2 linked regions of the Struthio camelus genome follow. The protein of the gene in region 1 purifies or fractionates together with the protein of each later gene. This does not show direct contact. Links are inferred from orthologs where the notes say so. Each region holds a gene or a part of one and is shown on either strand. Other genes may lie near its edges.

Region 1 (10,321 bases):
TGGTGCATGGGGTTATTCCTCCCCAGGTGCAGGACCTTGCCCTTGCCTTTGTTGAACTTAAGGAGGTTCCTCTCCGCCCACCTTTCCAGCCTGTCCAGATCCCTCTGAATGGCAGCACAGCCTTCTGGTGTCAAAAGCTTTGCTGAAGTCCAAGTTGACCACATCCACTGCTCTCCCCTCATCTACCCAGCCAGTCATTCCGTCATAGAAGGCTATCAGATTGGTCAAGCATGATTTCCCTTTGGTGAATCCACGCTGACTACTCCTGATCACCTTCTGGTCCTCCAGATGCTTAGTGAGGACCTTCAGGAGGAGCTGTTCCATCACCTTTCCAGGGATGCAGGTGAGGCTGACAGGCCTGGAGTTTCCTGGCTCCTCTTTCTTGCCCTTTTGGAAGCCTGGGGTGACATTGGCTTTCTCCCAGTCCTCAGGTGTCTCTCCTGATCTCCAGGACCTTTCCAAGAGGATGGAGAGTGGCCTAGCGATAACATCCGCCAGCTCCCTCAGCACTCGTGGGTGCATCCCATCAGGGCCCATGGATTTGTGGATGTCAAGTTTGGACAAATGATCTCTAACTCAGTCCTCTTTGACCAAGGGAGAGTCTTTCTCTCTCCAGACTTTCTCCCTGATCTCCTGGGTCAGGGATTCCTGAGGGCTGGCCTTAGCAGTGAAGACTGAAGCAGAGAAGGCATTCAGCAACTCTGCCTTCTCTGTGTCTTCTGTTGCCAGGGCACTCACTCCATTCAGCAGCAGGCCCATGTTTTCCCTAGTCTTCCTTTTGCTATTGATGCATTTGAAGAAGCCCTTCTTGTTGTCCTTGACATCTCTTGCTAAATTTAATTCCAAAATGGGCCTTGGCCTTCCTCATCGCATCCCTGCATACTCTGACAACATCCCTGTATTCCTCCCAAGTGGCCTGTCCCATTTTCCACCTTCTGTACACTTCCTGCTTATGTTTGAGTTTTGCCAGTAGTTCCTTGCTCATCCGTGCAGGTCTCCTGCCCGCTTTGCTGGACTTCTTACTCAGGGGGATGCACTGCTCTTGAGCCTGGAGGAGGTGATTCTTGAATATTAACCACTTCTCCTGGACACCCCCCTCATTCTAGGGCCCTACCCCATGAGATTCCCCTAAGTAGGTGCCTGAAGAGGCCAAAGTTAGCTCTCCTGAAGTCCAGGGTTGCGATCCTACTTATTGCCCTGGTTCTTCCTCATAGGATCCTGAACTCCACCATCTCATGGTCACTGCAGCCAAGGCTGCCCCCAACCTTCACATCTCCAACTAGACCTTCTTTGTTTGTTAGTACAAGGTCCAGCAGCACACCTCTCCTCGCTGGCGTCTCCACCACCTGGGTCAAGAAATTATCATCAATCCTCTGCAGGATCCTCCCGGACTGTTTGTGCCTAGCTGTGCTCTCTTCCCAGGCAGATACCAGGGTGGCTGAACTCTCCCACGAGAACCAGGGCCTGTGATCGTGAGGCTACTTCCAGCTGTCGGTAGAAGGCCTCATCGACCACTTCCTCCTGGTCAGGTGGCCTGTAGTAAACCCCCACAACAGTGTCACCCATGTTACCCTGCCCTTTAATCCTTACCCATAGGCTCTCAACTTGCTCTTCATCCACCCCGAGGCAGAGCTCCATGCAGTCCAGCTGCTCCCTCACATAAAGGGCAACTCCACCACCTCGCCTTCCTGGCCTGTCTTTCCTGAAAAAGCACATAGCCATCCATGACAGCATCCCAGTCATGTGAGCTATCCCACCATGTCTCTGTAACTGCAACGAGATCATGGCCCTGCGACCGCACACAGATCTCTAACTCTTCCTGTTTATTCCCCATGCTGCATGCGTTAGTGTACAGGCATTTCAGAGAGCCAATCGAGCATGTAAGCTTCCCAGGAGAGGTGCAAGAGGAGCCTCCATAGCCACGTTGCATGCTGTGTCCCCTGGCTGCATGCACCCGCTGGAGGCATCCTGACTCGAGCGGTGTTTTACTGACTACCGTGTCACTATACCATTCCCCTTCCCCCATCTTTCCTAGTTTAAAGCCCTCCTTACTAGGCTGGCCAACCTGTTGGCAAAGACACGCGTGCCCCGCTTGGTGAGGTGGATCCCATCTCTCCCCAACAGCTGTTGATCTTCAGACAGGGTCCCATGGTCACAGAAACCAAAAACCCTGCTGCCAATAGACTAATCTTCCCTAGAGATTAGTCTGACTCTGCCACTATAAAATCTTGCACTTATCCATGTGCATCTGGGAAAGACTGGCCTCTCGGTTCAGAGGAGAAACATCCTTTGGGTTTGCAATTATTTGATCTCCATTTTCAGAACTTCCTCAAATGACAGGATAAGAGGGGATAACTTCCCTCACAGGAAAGAGCCTGGCAGGCAGAGAGGGCTGATCTTCTTAATGGTGTCTTCAAATCGCCTTAATATAAATCCTCATAGAATAGCCTTATTGGTTTGAATAGGGATGAAAGCAATAGCGTTGCAAAGAAATGAGTAGTGTTTGTGAGAAGCTGCACTAGAGATTTTTGCACAGTAATAGAAATTGATCTTTTTTGCTATAGAATTTGAGCAATCCTTAAGAATTTAAGAGACTTATTTTCCTGTTAAAGAATTCTAAATATCAATTTAAAAAAATTCTTCAAGGTGATCAATCTCTGTTAAACCATCAGGGCTTTCTTATTTGGGATGGGCTATAAATGTGCTGCCTTGTTCATAGGAGTGAACCAATTCAGGAGTCCTGCCTTGGTGATCCGCAGAACTTAGGTGCTCCACTTCTGGCAGCAGGTACTTCACTCTGGCAGCATGAGTATCTATTTTCATTATCACCAGACTTTGCTATCACTGTATATTTGCAGCCATCTGACACTTAGCCTAAAGCATAATGGAGAAAAAGATCGCATTTCTTCATTGTCCTGTTTGCTTCAAACTATCCAGTCCTACGAACTTTTGTGCCTTTGAAAAATTAATATGCTGTTACTCATACAGCCCACCAGTGCAAGCGAGCGCTGCAGAACTGATCTGTTGATATCTCCCTCTTAAATTTTACCCCTTGGCAAATCTTATTCAGAATTGTAGGTGAATCAACACTTTAGTTTCTGAATGAACCCCTAGTAATTTTTCAACAGGATTTTAAACAGGATTTTAGCCAGTAAAGCACATTTTAAAATGACTCGAGTTGTAAAAAGCCATTTACTGTGACATCTTAAAGCAGCAACAGCTGCCTAGGTTTGGTTCTGACAGCTGCTTTTCACCTAACAACAAGTAGCCTATTCATGTTTATTTATTCATTGATATTGAAAAATAACACAACAGGATCAGGTGCCTTAGCTGACTAATGTCTTACTTTTTATCTGTGTTAGCTCCTCTGTCCCAGTATTCATGACATATGTATATTTTGTATTAAAGACAAACCTTTTGGTTAGCTTTATTATTATAACATTGGCATATTTTAGCTTTTCGGCTAAAGCAATTAAGATCCCATCCAGAAAAGGTACATGTTTAATGGGAAAACAGCAATAATCCCTCTAGCTTTCCAGGGACCACATGCAAACTTAAAAGTAAGGTTTTCAAGTACTGTCCTAGACGAGAGCAAATCCTCTGGCCTAAGGCTTACATTCCAGGTCTCCTGGGATCTCTACAGAGTCCCATATTCCTCGTTTATACCAAACTCAGAGTGCAAATATACTTAAGTTTTTAAAAGAGCATACAGCTAAGAGCCTTGTCAAATAAGGCTTTTTCTGTAACCTTGGCACCCCTGAAAAACAGGAGCAGGTACTTTTTCACGTATCTGCACTTTTCATATTAAACTCCTTCAGGTTCTTCCATATTTGGGGCAATTGTTAATCACCCTCTTTCCATGTAGCGAGGACAGACAGGGTGTCCCTCCGGTGCTGTGGGGAGCACAAGTGGCTTGCTCGAGGTCAAGGGGCTCGAGGAACCTCAGTGGAAGCTCATTTACTAATTAAATACCTGTTACTTGTTTGCAAGCTGGCAAGCTTTGGCCTGCCAAAGCTGAAAATTCAAATCACTGTGAAGTAATAGGATAGCTCTGCAATGTCATTGGCAAAAGGAAGCCTGAGGTGTTTCAGAAGTGAAGATTTTTGCACCATGTTTTCATTTATATGTTCCTATTGGGACTTTTGTGGAGAGGAGCTGTTTTGCTTTGAGAGGGCAGGAATGGCCAAGCCGTCACAGGCCAGAGCAGTACAGTGTTCAGAAACTCACATTCTCCCCTAGTTACACCATCAGCTGTTCTTAAGCACCTTTTTCTTTATTGTCAGTTAGAAGCCTACATCCTCCACTGCACTTTGGGATTTGTAGGAGATTTGGAGTGTAAAGATATGAAGCTGAGAAACAAGTATTTGAGCAGTCGCCCTTGCCCCAGTTTGTAGGCGGTCAAAGCCTACTTTTGGTCAGTCCGCTCCTGTTCAGTGTGGTTAGGGAGGGTGGTAAATGGCAGGCACCAAGAGATTATTTCTGTTCAACCTGGTGCACCCATTGCTCGATACGCACAAGGAGTCTCCTTGAAAACGCCATTTCATCCTCATCTGGAGCGCTAAAGACTGTACGAGATGGCCCCTGCAGACACATACAGGAGCTAGGCTAAAAGGTGAGTCGCTGGAGGGGCTTCACAATTGTAGAGAAGAAACAAAGAGATAGCACTGAAAAAAAAAACCCTGGGAGAATGGCTTCCACACCCAAAAAGAAAGTGGCAGATAAAAACGAGCAGATGTTATATGCAAATACTAAATAACTAAATACTAAATAACATAGTATATTCTTGGTGGATCACGCTTGCAGATAATTACAAGAGCTACTGAAAGAGCTGGTAGAGTTCTGTAGTATTAGTTAAAATCAGTAAAATTAAAAATATATACATTTGGGGAAACCATTCAGCAGCAGTTACACTCACGTCTCAAAAGTTTAAAGTGGTTTGATGCCGCCGTGTCGGGAACTAAGCACAGGCAACAATGAAGACACACTGTGATCATTCAAAAAAGTTCTCTCTCCCAGCTAAGCCCGTCCCGTCTCCTCTGGAGAAGGCCTCCTATGCTTTGTGCCCAAATTGACTTGTTTTGGTAGCACTGAGGAAGGAAATGGCATGGCATTACCATGGATTTGCAGGCAAGTAGGGCTAATGTTAGGTGCTCAGCCGAACATAAAGAAAAGTAGCCAGGCCTGCTCTCATTGAAAACCTCGGGGTGGGGGGGGGGGTCAGCCAGGGCTGCCGCAAGCGGCAAGAGACTTTCGCCAAGTGGTCCAGGTGATTTGCTAAACCTGTGCCTCAGCTAGACCAGAAAGGTCGCCATCAAGTTAAAATCATTTGTTGTAAAGTTCCTCATCCCCGTTATTTTCATCTTATGGTGTATTAAACAAAAAAAAAATGCCCCCTGTGCCTGAGCTGCTGCAGATTCTGTGGGAAACTTTAGCGTTTACCTCGCTAGAAAGAAGGTGCTCGGTACTAGGGCTTGGCGTGAGTGTAAGCCCGAAAGGGAGTAGCTTGTGGTTTTATCATAGTTGTGCGCTGTAGTGGCGCTAAGGAGTAACTGCCTAAGCGTTACCTTGTATATCACACTAATCCTCCTGACGTAGATGGTTTTTAAAGGAACTCTATTTCAACACAGCTCGCCAGATGTACAGTGGGGCCGCGCTTCCCGAATTGCACAAAGACCGCGAAGAAAAGGTTGCAATGAGGTGAATTTTTAAACCACTCATTCTGACACACTACGAAAAATTACGTGAGGCACGCCGAGCATTTTCACAGCGCGCTAAACTGACTCCTACGGGGGGGGGGGAGGGGGGGGAGGATCTTCCCGCCTCTTACGCCCAGGAGACGTGACCCTTAGCCAATGAGTTCATTGAGTTTTATCATTGGTGTCAACGTCGCCTGGGAGAGGAAAACCTAGGTGCGTTTCGCAAACCTAAGGCTGGGAGTAGAGTAGCTGCGAGATTTTTGTTTGTTTGTTTGTTTGTCTACTGACAAAACAGTGTCAGCGTTTTAAAAAGGAAGGGGACACGTTGCGCAATGCTTAGCGATTTGAGAGCCCCCCCCCTTTTTTTTTTTTTTTTTACTTCTGTGGGGTTTTGTTTGTTTGGGGAATTTCGCAGGCTGAAAAATGCCCGACGCGAACGGGACGTAGGGGGAAGGTGAGCCCGCGCTGCCCGCCCCCCGCAGCGGCCGGCGGCTCGGCTCGGCTCGGGGCAGGTGCCCGGTCCGCGGAGGCAGCGCCACGCGCGCGCGGGGGCAGCGCGGGACTGGCGGCAGCGGCCCCGGCCCCGGCGCGCGCGCGCGGCCCCGCCCCGTCCCGGCCGGGCTGTTTGAGTGAAGTCATCTCCGCCGTCACAATGGGCAACACCTCCCCTCCTCCCCGGCTTCCCGCGCGGCCTTTCTCCCTTAAAAGGACAATGGGGCGCGCGAGCGAAAGGGCTCGATTGAGTAGAATGGGGGCCGTGGGAACGGCGCGTGCGCAGAGCGGCGCGCGCCGCGGGGAGGGGAGGGCAGATGAGAGGAGGGGGGGGCGCGCGCGCGCGCGCGGGCCCGGAGGTTGCATGCAGGCAGCGGGGCGCGACGGGGCGGCTGCGCAGAGCGCGGCGCGGCGGGGCACGCTCGCGGTCTGCTGGCGGGTGCACGGGGAGCTGAGGTGAGTGCCGCGGGGGGCAGAGGGGAAGGAAAGTCTGGGCAATGAGAAGCGAGAGGCTCGGGTTTGAATTTCTTGTTCTCTTTTCCTTTTTTTTCCCCTCCCCTTTATTTTTTCTTTTTATTTTCTTTTTTTTTTTTTTGCAACAGTCGGTGGTTTGTGGTCGTTGCAAGTTAATCCTGGAGGCTGTCCTTAGTTTTGGTACAGTGAGAACACTTTACCGCCCGAAACAGTTTGACACGCATGGCTCCTGTGTGCGGCGTTCCTCTCCCCCCTCCCCCTTTTTTTTTTTTAAAAAAAAAAAAAGGTAGTGGAGTTTAAAGCAGCCGCTCCGGTCGCGAAACGCCTCCCGCATTGTTGCACACCCCCCTCACCGACTTTGACCCCCCCCCCCACTCCACCCCAAAGTGAGATGAAAACGTTAAACCCCCGAGAGGAAGCGCGATCTAGCTGCAGGCGACGGAGCCGCGGAGCGCTCCGGGGCCGCGGGCGCGGAGCCCCGCCGCCGCCGCGCCGGGAGGGCGGCCCGGCCGTTGCGCGGGGCGCGGGGGCGGCGCAGGTGCGGCGCGGCCCTGCGCAGCGCCCGCACACCTGTAGCGCTGCCGCGCACAAGTTGGTGCCCGCTCGGCGGCGGAGCGGAGGGGGCACCACGGGCGCCCCCCTTCCGCGGGGGGGGGTGGGGGGCGGCGGCTTGCTGACTTTTTAGAATTTTTAAATTTTTTTCCCCTGTTGTTGTTTTTTTTTTTCTTCTTTAGAGCGGTCAGGGGCTCTGCCCGCCCCGAAATAGGGGGGGGGGGAAGTGTGCGCGTGCGGTGGGGTGACACGCGGGGCCGCTGCGCGGGCGGTGATGGCGCCGCCGCCAGCGCAGCGCAGCGCGGGGGCAAAAGCGGCTGCCGGACGCCGCCGCGCCGCACGCAGACAACGGGCAACTTCTGGCTTCCGCGGGGGCCTGCGCGCTCCCTCGCCGCCTGCCCCGAGCCCCGCGGAGCGGCCGGCCGCTCCCGGGTGCCGCACGTCGGCGGGAGCCGGCGGAGGGGAAAACAAAGGGCTCCCATGTGCTGCCGGCGCCGCGACTCCGCGTGTGCGCCCGACCGCGCGCGGAAACGCGGAGGGGAGGGAGGGGGGGGCGCCGACCGGCCGGAGTGAGCGTGCCCCGCGCCGGGGGGGGGTGTTTGAGGGGCTGGCTGCAGGTTTGGGAGCACTTTGGAGGGGCGGCGAAACTTTGGATGCGCGCACGCTGCCGCGAGGTACCACGCCGCCGCGTGCATGGAGGAGGCGGAGGAGGAGGGGGCGTGTTTGCGCGTGTGGGGCGCGCAGGGAGGGAAGCCCCGTCCGCGGTACCGGGGTGGGGTGGGGGGGCTGCGTTGGCGCCCCCGGCCGCGGCGGGGGGGGGTGTTGGTGGTGAGGGGGGGTATCTACCCCTTCTGCCCTTTGAAGTGGGGCTGTTGCCATGTTTGAATTACGTCAGGGCAAAGCCATGAGGAAACAGCGACGGGCGGGGGCGGGGGGGGGCGCCCGGAGCCGCGGCCGCGCACCGGGGGCGGCTGCAGCCCCGCTCGCCCCGGCTGGGGCCAGCGCGGCCGGGCCGGGGCCGCCTGGTCAGTCCCGTGTCCCCCCCCCCCCCCCGCACTTTTTTTAAATTTTTTTTAATATATATTTATGTGGGCTTTCTGGAAGTTGCACGTTTCGCCCTTCGGGGGCAGGGGAGGGGGCGCGCGTTGCGGGCGGGCCGGCGGTGGTGGTGGCTGCTCCTACGGCTCCCGGCCCACCTGCTCGGCGGAAAAGTAGGTCGTGGGCCCCGCCGCCAGCCGGCGGGGGTCTTTGTTCGCGGAGGGCGGGCGCGGAGCCACCGCGCTGCCCCCGCGCCACGCGCTGCTCGGCGGACAACCGGCCGCAGCCTCCGCGTGCCGGCAGCGCGCCTCCCCCGCGGGCTGCTCAAACTGTACTTTGCCGGGCATCCCCGGTTATTGTTACTTTTTTTTTTCTTCTTCTTTTTTTTTTTTACTATTATTTATTTACTTGCTGTTTTGAGCCGGGGAAACGGCTTCCATTCAAATCTCTCATTGGATTAAAAATTGCCGTCTCCTTTTTACACCCATCGCCGGATGCGTAGCTGAAGGGGTTTAAAGGGGCCTGCCAAACCTGTTGTTTACCCCACTGCGTGTTGGCACAGGGCTGAATGCTGCCTGCCCCGTGGCTCCCCCCAGCCCCGCAGGCGAGTCTCTCCTGGCAGGAATAGCCCCAGATCATCCTGCCGATGGCCTTGTCCCCGACCATCCGCTCGCTCTCTAGGGACTGGCAGTCCTGTGTGCCCAAATTATTTCATAATCGTTACAATTGCAAAAAACTTTAGAGCTGTGCTCCAGCACCGTAGGGTTGCAGGCAGCTGGCCTAGGAAGCAGTCCCTCAACCTGGGTGTGTACAGCACGTGTCTTTTCGCTGGGCTGAAGGCAAGGCCCCTGCCACCATCCCCGTGTGGGTGCAGAGAGGAGAAGGCCAAGTGTCCTGAACTGAGTCCAGAGCTTCAAGAGCTTTGCATTGGAGGCTTAAGGAGCATACTTTTAACACATCCTGATGCAGTGCTATTTTTCCTTTCCGATTTTAATTCAGGTGAAGGGGATAGGTTGACAGCTGTGGAGACGCCTGTTTACCCTCACGCAAGGCAAAGCAGGAGGTTTGACGGTTCCTCAGCAAACCCCGCTGCTCCCGTGGACTTACTTCTAAAGGTGAGACTGTTTCTGCCGCGTGCCACGATACGCTGCGGAAACCCCCTTCTCCTCAGTGTGCACGTAGCCAGCTTCACTGTGTAGTTTTCTGTTTTCTTCAATGACCAGAGAAAGTTGCATGTGCTCTACAGCATGGGGCAAGCAGTGAACTAGGGGTCTTTCTGCTGACATCCGTGGGCACCAAGCTCTCTTCCCCCCCCCCCCCCCCCCCCAAAATAAATTCCAGGTTTCTTGAAGTCTGCAGTCAGTGGTAGTGAATCAGTAAGTAACAAGTCATGGGATTTTCAAACACATCTACAGGCATGCAGTATCCAGCTGCCCCTGAAAGTAGGTGGGATCAACTTTCCCAGAGCCTCTGGGAAAAATTCCTCCGTGCTTCTCTCCCAACCAGTAGGAGATTCTCAAAGGGGAGCTAGTTGCCTACAGCTTGCAGTCTTTCCTTTAAAAAGAAAACATCCTTTACTGCTTAGTAGAAGAAAATGAACTGATAAATTCTCACATGTTAAAAATAAACAATGTTAAAACTGTGATGGTTTGTTATCTTAGTTGTGCTGAACAGCTCTTTCTGGGTCACCAGACTGCTTTGCATTGATTCTAATTAGCACTTGATGATTCGTACTTCTTTCGGAATGCGATGAACCGCATGCAGTCTGAAGCAGAAGTTGGTTGTACCTTCTCTAGCACTTGCTTTTTAACAAAAGAAGAAGCCAGCAAGCCTGGGGTGGGAACAGAGGGCTGGAAACTGGATAGATTAGCAGAATGGAGGGGCAGGACTCCATTTCACCACTTGGGCTCTTGCATTTCTTTAGAAGGTGCTCAGTCAGTCCAAAGTCCAAATGAAGTCTCCAGTAATACTTACGGATACTGTAAATATATCCTTTATAATGAAGTCACTCCACTCATTTTGTTACATGTATCCTTTTCCTCCCTTGCAGACCCTATCAGATATTTTAT
Region 2 (9,474 bases), on another chromosome or scaffold:
GTCCTGTTCACTTGCAAAAAAGCACAAATTCCCATTTCCATTTGCAAAATCCTGTATCTCGTAGATGAACCTGACATTGTAGGCCTCTGTAACTGAGGGAAGGAAAGAGCTCTTCATGAGCTTATGTTCCCCTGAGCAACCATTCTTGCTTTATTGCTTTGTTTGTTAACCAATGTATCAGCATTAACACTTTTGTGTCAGAGTTGGGTAAGAAGTCAGAACACTGCAGTCTTTCCAGCCACCAAAAATCCCAAGCTTGAATGAATTTTTCCAAGAGCTGCAGTGTTAATGAAGCCAGATTTCCTCTGAATTTGTGTTCTAGCCACTGAACGCTATAAGTCACTATTTTCCATATCCATAAACCTTCTTTGCATAGTCCTCCCCTAGCTATTTGAGATGGGCAAGAGTCCTGACTGCAGCTGTGTCTTAGCTACAGGTATACAGATTGGCCAAGAGTGGCCAGCTGACTGCTGCCTCTTGGAAGGGTAAAAGCTAAGTTCTAGCCGTGTTTCCCTCTGTGGAATATTAACAGGGGCTCTCACCCCAAATATTGTTTCACAAAACACTCAGAAACTTGGTATCTTTGACGCTTCTGCTCCCATGTCAAATTTGGCCTAAATTAGCTAATGGCTTCACAAGTAGCAGGGGAAGAAACCACCTGAAAGGAAAGTCATTACCTAAGCTTTGCTTTCTTAGTATGCTAAGATGATGTCAGCCATGCTGAAACACAAGGAATGTATGGTCTCTCATCACCAGAAACTGTCATATATGTGAAAGCTATTTTTAAGAGATGTAACCAATTACTAATTCCTGTCCAGTGGTGCCAGAGAACTTAGACTTTAGCTATGCTAAGTCACCTTCACCTCATAATGTTTGTGCTCTTATGTAAGCGCAAGTATCCATATCAGATAGGAAAGAGGTTTTGAAACATGAATATACTGATACAGTGGCAGTTAAAACCGCTTTTTTTTTTTCCAACCGAAAATGCTCAGTCATGGTCTCTCAGCCACTGAGATGTTTTCTTTTTCTTTCCCAACCTATGAAATAATTTTGCAATACTGACAAACTCGCAAATGAACTTCCAGAAGAGCCCTGCAGAAACTCTGCATGTCTGCCAGCCCTTGGGAGAGGACCAGTTATGTACAGATTATTTCCCTTCTATCAGTGGGAATATTTTGCCTCCCTCTCTCCCGCTACCTTACTGGCAGGAATAAAAGGGGGCTTTAGAATTATGGATTTATTTTGATTGTAGTTCTAAGCTTACTTGAGACCATTTGCAACACATGGCAGAATATCTTGCCTAGAAAATACACGAGGTGAGGGAAGAACATGATCCAATAGCCTTCCAACACAGCTAGTTGCTGGCATACAGCGAAGACTTTAACTTGCTGCTGACCTTGTCCTGCTGGGAGAATAGTCTTTTCCTTCTTCTTGTGACCCATCTCCTAATATTGCACTTTGAAATTGAGTGTGAAGAATCAGATTTAATTTGCTAGAGCATCCCAGTGTATCATTTCTTTGTGATAATGCATAAAAATTATTCAAAGTGACCGAATTCAGTTTTCAAGAGTTCACAAACAACCCTGTGCTTCCACTTCTTTCTTAAACCTAACTATAGATGAGGCCCTGCGACTGACTAAAACCTCTTGTGTAACTTCCAGATAAATTTCTCTGTGAGGCTTCTTTTTTTTATCATTAATGATATATACTGCGTCCTGCCCCCTTTGCCTTGCCCCCCAACAATCAATCTTGTGATGCCCAGTGCAAGATAAACTATGTCTCTGAACTGGGAGAACAACTCCTAACCAGAAGATACTTCAAACCCATCAAAATGTACTGCACTATATTGGACCAAATCCAACAGAAACTCTTTTGTCCCTGGTTCTCCTTGAGGGTTTCATCTATTCCTGTGTCTTACTGACTCACATTCTGCATCTTTGGCTTCTCTCTGTAGAATCTTTTCCTTGTCAGAAACATCCAGCAAATTAACAGGGATCTTTTCCATTTTCACATGCAGAAAACCTAGGACTTTCTTGAAACCTGCTCTCAAACAGGTTTCAACCACTCCCACCTTTCTTTTGAAGTATAGTTATCATGGCTTCAGTCCCTGAGAGGCAGAAACATTTCAAAACTGATACATGTATCTTTTTCTTTTTTTTGCACCAGGCCACTTCTCTAATAAGGATTTGTAAAGCACTTAGAAATGTGTAGGATTATTCATTATGCAGTTACTTGCTACAATGAAAGCTGGTAATCAGTTTGATAATCGAAAGATAATAACAGCTTTCCAGATTCTGGAGTGATATGTATTTGCAGTCACTGTCTCCATTCAGCAAATTAGGTGTAAAATTACAGAGTCTCTGCTTCCTAGTTGTTTTTGAACATGTCTGGTCTAATAGCTACCATGTTGTGCCAGGTTCCACTTTTCTGTGTTTTCCACAGATGTTGTTCAATAGCCAGATTCCTGTTATTGGTTTAAATGTCCAGATTAAGTGTTGTGAAGCTGATGCTTGCATTTCCAAGCTCCTCCTCTTCATGTGTGAGCTCCCATCTTCAATCATCCTCCTCTCTCCCAAACTGGGAAAGGAGATTTCACCATCTGTCATGGTCTGTGCTGGCCAGCATGTTATTTATAACCACGCTTTTTGTGTCCAAATTTTTTCCAGTATCAGCTTTTAACATAATTACTACTCTCTAATTTTGCATTATTGCCAACTGTCCCTGCTGATGGACTATCTCTCTTTCTAATTGTTCACAAATATCGCATACTAGATGCGGATTCCATTTCATCACACGCTTTAAAACATGAGCTGACAAGGATCATGAAGATTTACTTCTTAATGGCTATTTTACTCTGGTGAAGGGGAAAACTCATGATATACAAATTATATTGCTTTGCAGACCTCCTGTGCTTCCTTTCACTGATCTTGACATGGTTTTAAACCTATAGATTGGTCCTCTGGCAGCTGACTATTACGCCCTTGCTAGTATCTTCTCACAGCAAGAATACAAGTCTTTGCAAGTCTTCTAACAAGCCAGCTAGTTTCTTCCTTTCCCCTTTCCTTCTAGCACACAGCTGGGCTCTAGCAAGATAGCTGCTGCTACCTGGTATGTTACGGGCTTGTAGGTGATCTGGGTAAGTCACTTTAATTCTGGGAACAAGTGGTACTGTGCCATCAACACTGTCTATAGCTGCTGGAGATAGCCCATTCTTTTTTTTTTTTTTTCAGTAATCCATTTGGACAGTGAGGTCAACTTCAACCAGTACAGTTTTTCCTTCCACCCACCCTGTCCCCCAAGACAGTAAACGTTTGTATTGCTATAGCTGGGTAATTTCATTCCTGCCCCATGGACACAAACAGAATAAAAGAAACACATAAAAATCTTATCTTACTAAAATGCTTTTTCTGGCTCAATTCCCCATCACGGTTGCTTATTTCCACCGTGGCACGGGAACTTTAATTTCCTTCTGGGGCTTATTATTAGCTTCCCTCTTCAGTTAGGAAGTTACAAATAGGCCAAAGGTTTCCTGATTTCCTGCCATTCCTTCCCCTGCCACTGTTTCCAGTCAGTTCTTCTGATCTGTCCAGAACATTTGATTTCTAGCCTTTTTATCTTGCCAGCCCCAAACGGGAATTTTCAATTTCAGACATATTTTATTCTGGTTTCTTTTTGTCAGTTCCTCAGTTCTCTATGGATCCCTTAAGTGAAACTTCAGATCCAGCTTGTGAAATTCACCAGTTTCCTCTGGGGAGATCTCCAGCTCATGTTTCAGGCCTTCTCTTCATTCCTTTTAGCCGTTTTAATTTCTGACACCACCGTTAACACTTTCAAAGGTAGTTCAAAGGAACAGCAGCTTACTATGCATTTCCTTGGTAACTGCCTCTAATTTTTAAAACGGTATGAACCAGCACTTGGTCAGATGTCGGGGTCCCAGAAGTTGTTTCTAGACAAGGAAAACCTGTGGACGCAGTTGGTTGTTATTGCTTTTCTAAATAACCCAACCACTAGGGGGGAAAAAAAAATCCAGTTTCCTTACAGATCAAAAGTCGTTAAGTGGCAACTCCTTAAACATCGCTCTGGCTCCTTTCTGCTAGCCCGTAGCTAACATCTCGGCCTGTGCAGGGCAGGTGGCAGCAGCTGTGCTCCCAGGTCGAGCTGGGCCCCCGGCAGCAGCACGCCTGGCCCTGTGCCCCGTGGCTGCCGGGTGGCGCACAGCACGCGTGACTGTCCTGCTGAGGCCCAGCCCACCGTGGCTGTGCCATTACCAGAGCAGGACTGGGCCCCAGGGGGAGGTGTGAGGGAAAGGCCTGATGGAGCCCTTGGAGCGGGAAAAGCGCTTCTGGGAAGCAGAGGCAGGAGATGGAGGTGCGCATCTTCAGCAGCGAAAGGTGCCTAGTATTGCAGATCTAAGAAAATATTAATTTCTGTGTACACTGGCTGCTTTTAAAAGTTACAGGTGTTTCATACCATAGACCTATAATTATAAAACTCATTATGGATTAAATCAAAGTGTGGGTAAAGCATACCAGATTCTCCGTGGCCCCCAGTTAGCTAAGAGGCCCGAGAAAACCAGAACAATGCTGGTTTGAACATTGACCAGAACGTTGAAAAGGAAGGGATTGAGTTTGAATAGTGAAAGATAGGAGGTGGTTAATTTTGTCCAATATTTCTCCCCTTCAACAACTATCGTTATGTTAGTCTTGGCATTTGTGTTCTTGGAGAAGAGGTGGCACATCAGTGTACTCTCTTGGGTGGAGAGGGGAAATGAGTTGTTCTATATATGCGGAGATGTGGGATGCTTCAGGAAAAAAAAGCAATGACTAAAAAACAGCAGTGGTTATGGTAAGGTAAGTATTTCCACAGAGGCTGAAGTCCATAGGGAAGCTTGGCAGTTATTTATTGCCCCAAAATATCACCTGTATAATACATCCTTCCAAATTGCATAGAGTGACTAAATCTGGATCTCTTGACATGAAGAAATGCTACTGCCTGGCAATATAACCTTTACTTCTCATTGGAGCAATGTCACAGCACATCACTGGGACACACAGTACTACTTAAACCTGGCCCAAACTTATAAACTCAGCCTGTGCTATACAAACTACCTCACCTTAGCCTTAACACTTTTCTCAGAGATATTGCCCGTGCTTACCTGTAGGCCATGAGCACATATTTCATGGCTCCTGACAATCCCTGCAGGACTTCCCTGCCTGTGTGTGTCCTGAAGTGGAGCTAACCCATTGCTGGTAGCAGGGTGACAGCTCCGACGGCTTGCTCCGACAAGTGCCGTTCCTGTTCAGTACGTCATACATAGCACAATTAGTGGCAATTAGCAAACGAGTGGAAAAACACTGATACTCAAAGCCATGAAACCTACCCGAACCCTGCACAAATTGCAGCACACCCTCAGAGCCCTTTCTCACGTCCACTCCTACTGGTCGCTGCCTGTTTTAGGGGATTAAATTCAGTCTAGCTTAACTTGAAATGCGTCCCGCGATGTGAAAGTTAGGAAGAGGGGGCGAGCGGGGACCGGGACGCCTTGCCGGGAGGCGAAGCGCCGGGTTACGGCGTGGCTCCGGGGGGACGGGCGGGGGGGAGGCGGGGGGCAGGCCGCGGCGGAGCCGGGCTCCCGCCGCCCGCGTCGCTGCTCCGGGCGGCGGCGGTGCCGGGCGCGGCCCGCAGGGCCCAGGCCCGCCCCCGCTACCAGCCGGAGACGCGGCCAGGTGTGCGACCACCATGGAGCCTTTCAGTGAGGAGCAGTCCCGAGGGTGGCCCGGGAATGGGCAGGAAGAAGCCGCGGCCCCGCCGCCCCCCTCCCCCCCCTACTCCGGGCCCCCACAGCCATGAGCGGCGGCTTCCTCCTCCCTCCCTCCGTGCAGCTCCTGGCGGACTACAATTCCCAAGGTGCCTCGCGCACGCGCTAACCTAGCCTGCCGGCCCTGCTGCAGAGCCCGCCCCTCCTGCGTGGAGCTCGCCCAATGGGAGCGAGAGGAGGGCGCCGGGCGGCGTAGGTTGTGCCCGCCGGGTGAGGGGGGGAGGGGCCGGCAGCAGCTGCGGCGGCGGGAAGGGTTGTCCCAGGGCTCGGCGGCGGGGACGATGCCGGTCCATTCCCGGGAGAAGAAGGAGACCAACCACGATGAGATGGAGGTGGACTACGGGGAGAACGAGGGCAGCAGCTCGGAGGAGGAGGAGACCGAGAGCTCGTCCGTATCCGAGGAGGGGGACAGCTCAGGTACCGCGGCCGCCCGCGGGGGAAGCCCCTCGGCCCGGGCGGGTGCCGCGGCGGTTCCCGCAGCCGCCGGCGCCCTCCCCTGAGGGGACACCGGCCTCGCCCTGCCCCCCGCTCCGGGGGCGGCCCCCCCCGCCGCCCCCCGCGTGCCGTGACCCCGCCCCTCCCGCCGCCCCGGCCCCGCCGCCGCTCCCCGGGCCGCCGGCCCGGCGGTGGCCGTGGCGGGGAGGCGGGAGCCGCAGCCCCGCGGCGGGCTGAGCTGAGCTGAGCTGAGCCGAGCCGAGTCTCCTGGTCCGCAGCCGGCCGCCGCCCGCGCTTGGCGGGCCGGGCCGGGCCGCGCCGCGCTGGGGGAGTGCTGTCGGCTGTGCCCGACTGGGCTTGAGTGCAGGGCCGCTGCGGGGGGAGGTGCTCGCCTGAGGTCCTCGCTTCAAGAGCTCTGTGTGTGTGTGTGTGTTTATGTAGACACGCGCACACACACAAACACGCACGATCTCTTTTTCTGTTTGTGTATAAAATGCGTATGTGTATTTTCCTTTACGCAAAATCATCAGCCTCAATGAGGTTTAAATTTTCTTCTGCTCACCTCTTGAGGCCTGTCTGTGAAGTCATGCCAGCACTGCCTGCCACTTCTGCAAAGCTTTTATGCCTCTACCCTATTGAAAATCCCGTCTTCTCTTTCCCGTAACTTCATCTGGATTGTAGGCAGAGATTGATGTTAGTATGTGAAATCCAGGCTTTAAAAGGACTACCTTTTCTCCAATTTTCTCTGTGTTAGAAGAAAGTTGTCTATTCCAAGGTCCCTTATAATTCAAAGGGCTGAATTATAAGATGGCCTTTTGTTGGGAAAAGTACTGATCATCAAACATGCACACTACTAGCCTGAAATCACCAGGGCTCTATAGATATCTGCTGATTCGGGTAGTATCTTTGTCACTAGAAGTGCTAGCTGAAAAACACTGAGAAACTCTGATCCTGAGGTGTGTTTCTGGTAGTTTCGTCTGCCATGATCCTATCCCACGCTTGCACCTGCACACTGACCAGTGTTATGAGTGCCAGGCTTGGCACTGTGCAAGGAGTGGCAAAATATAAATTCGACTAGTTAGCTGTGAAATTACATTTTTAGCTATTTATGTGGACCAGTGATTGTTGTACCTGAGTGTGTTAAAATTCCCAGTGTACAGTTAATTCCTTCGTCATTTGATGTTATAAGATCTGGGATGTCTTGGATGAAAAGTTCTGTGGCTCTTATATTCACACTGACTTCAGTTTCTTGGAAAGCCCAGCTCTGGCTCCTTGTGGACTCACACAGCGTGACCATGTCTGGAGCAGTGTGTTAGCTAACAAGGTGCTGGAGCACTGCAAGTGTGGTACAGGGACAGCCAAGTTAGCTCTGCAAAAGTAGAGTGAGGACTTTGTCCTTGCTGGGGAAGTGTGGCTGCTGTACTGGGGAGGAGTATAGCCGTGCCCTTAGGCCTTACTCTAGGTTGATGCTCAGTTTGGACAAGAGGTGGTCCTCCAGTAGAGGCCTTGGTTAATCTACTAATCTAGGTAATCTGCCCACAGTTGATATGGAGCTTTATATTTTTGGTTTTGTTTTTCTTCTTCCTCTACCCCATTCCTCATCGTCCCCCCCCCCCCCCCCCCCCAGTTCCTTTGAGCTGGAAAATATTGCTAGTTGAGCCCCATTTTACAGTTTAGGCTCCTGGTCCATGTCTGTCCACATGAATCAAATTGCAGGCTGCTATGGTCCTGCCTGTCTTCTCTACGCGCCCTTCCTAGTATACCATACTCTCTTGTCCCCTTTCCTGCATGGTCTCCAGGGCTTACTGAGCCTTTGCATGCTAAGCTGTCAGAAAAATAACCCATAAAAAAGGAATAATTTTCTTCCAATGTACTATGTGAAAATGACTTAGTGAAGAGACTGGTGTGTGACAGTGGGAGGCACGAGGGACTATGTAAACCAGCAGTTAGATTGGCTTCTGCTGCTGTGGAGCTGCAGTTTTAAATTGCCATTGTGTAAAGATATGTAAATACCTCCAACTTAAATGATTTAGTCTGACACCTACTCGTTTTTGTGAATTTGGGACTAATGACTTGCATGGGTTTAGACAAGAGGTCTCCTGGAGCAGGGAGTTCTTAAATTCTGGGCTGTTTCCTTTTCTGAGGGAACATCTTGCTTCTCTTGTATAGTGTGATAGCGTGCAGGAAATCTCTTCAGTTAGCGAATGGTGGACCACATCCAGGTGTGGGCTTGCAAAATTATTATAAACGTAGTTTTATTGGTGTCTACATAAGTGAACTACTTTAAATTGTCTGGCAAAATCAGAATATATAAGCGGATAGTGCTGAGGCCCCTACATCTCTAAAGTAGCTAGGGTTTAATTTCAGATTTTCTAGCCTGATGCTAGAAACGTATTTCACTGGAAGCTGCCTCAAGGAAAAGTCATTATTTCAAGTCCTTTTGTTCTCCACAGATGTTTGAGCACGTTTGTCAGGTACCTGCAGCAAAGCTTTGGAGTCAATTTGATAGGAAAAGAATTTGATTTGTAATTACCAAAAGTACTCCAAAATGACCCAGTGCATGGAAAGCTGGGCTAGTTATGGGGCAGTCTTCAAAACTCTGCCGTGGCTCTGCACTGAAACATGAGTGTGGGCACAGTTTTTGTAAACAGGTGGGCCCAATTAATTGCCCCTTACTCCCTTTCTGTCAAAATGATGCAGTTTAAAAATAAAACTAAAAAAAGTGCTTCAACTGTCTTGGGTTGCTTTGATGAAACCCATGCAGCGTCTGTGTGTGCTGGTGGTTATGCTGGAAGAAAGGCAAGCTTGAGTGAGGGTATAGGGACAAGCAGCTGGAGGTGAGGTAATCATATCTTGAACTGGAAAAGCATATCCTTGTTTGCATAACAGCCTGCTCTCTTCCTTTCAGATATGATTTATGAAAGTAAGTATCAATTTTTTATTATTAGAAGCATTCATGAGATAAAATGGCAATACAGCATTCTGGATAAGAACTTCATGGAAACAGCTCTTCCCTCCTGGAGGCAACTATTTTTCAAGAAGTACCACCATACATAGTAGAGTGAAGTTTAAGTCTTTCAGGGGAAAACATGTAGAGTGTAAAGGGGGAATACAAGCTTAACATATTAATTAGACAGTAAGTGGGTGAGACACAAGGTGATGAAGGACTCCTCAAGGAGGTCCAAGAGCTGCACTGCAATGATAATCCCTGCTAGTCAACC

What was found. The genes of interacting proteins can lie anywhere in the genome.
Region 2: the proteins of SINHCAF (region 1) and BRMS1L purify together in Homo sapiens (affinity purification with mass spectrometry; 3 studies listed by BioGRID and IntAct, counting the BioPlex papers as one, with this or other methods). This does not show direct contact. The link is inferred for Struthio camelus from reciprocal best matches to the Homo sapiens genes SINHCAF and BRMS1L.

The regions. Positions count from the first base shown.
Region 1 is NC_090942.1:68,092,437-68,102,757, forward strand, and holds the start of SINHCAF (SIN3-HDAC complex-associated factor), read left to right. Parts: upstream 1-6,492; 5' UTR 6,493-6,644; intron 6,645-8,158; exon of another isoform or gene 8,159-8,239; intron 8,240-9,251; 5' UTR 9,252-9,367; intron 9,368-10,321. UniProt on the Homo sapiens protein: Subunit of the Sin3 deacetylase complex (Sin3/HDAC), this subunit is important for the repression of genes encoding components of the TGF-beta signaling pathway.
Region 2 is NC_090946.1:55,613,860-55,623,333, forward strand, and holds the start of BRMS1L (breast cancer metastasis-suppressor 1-like protein), read left to right. Parts: upstream 1-5,715; 5' UTR 5,716-6,099; coding exon 6,100-6,235; intron 6,236-9,474. UniProt on the Homo sapiens protein: Involved in the histone deacetylase (HDAC1)-dependent transcriptional repression activity. When overexpressed in lung cancer cell line that lacks p53/TP53 expression, inhibits cell growth.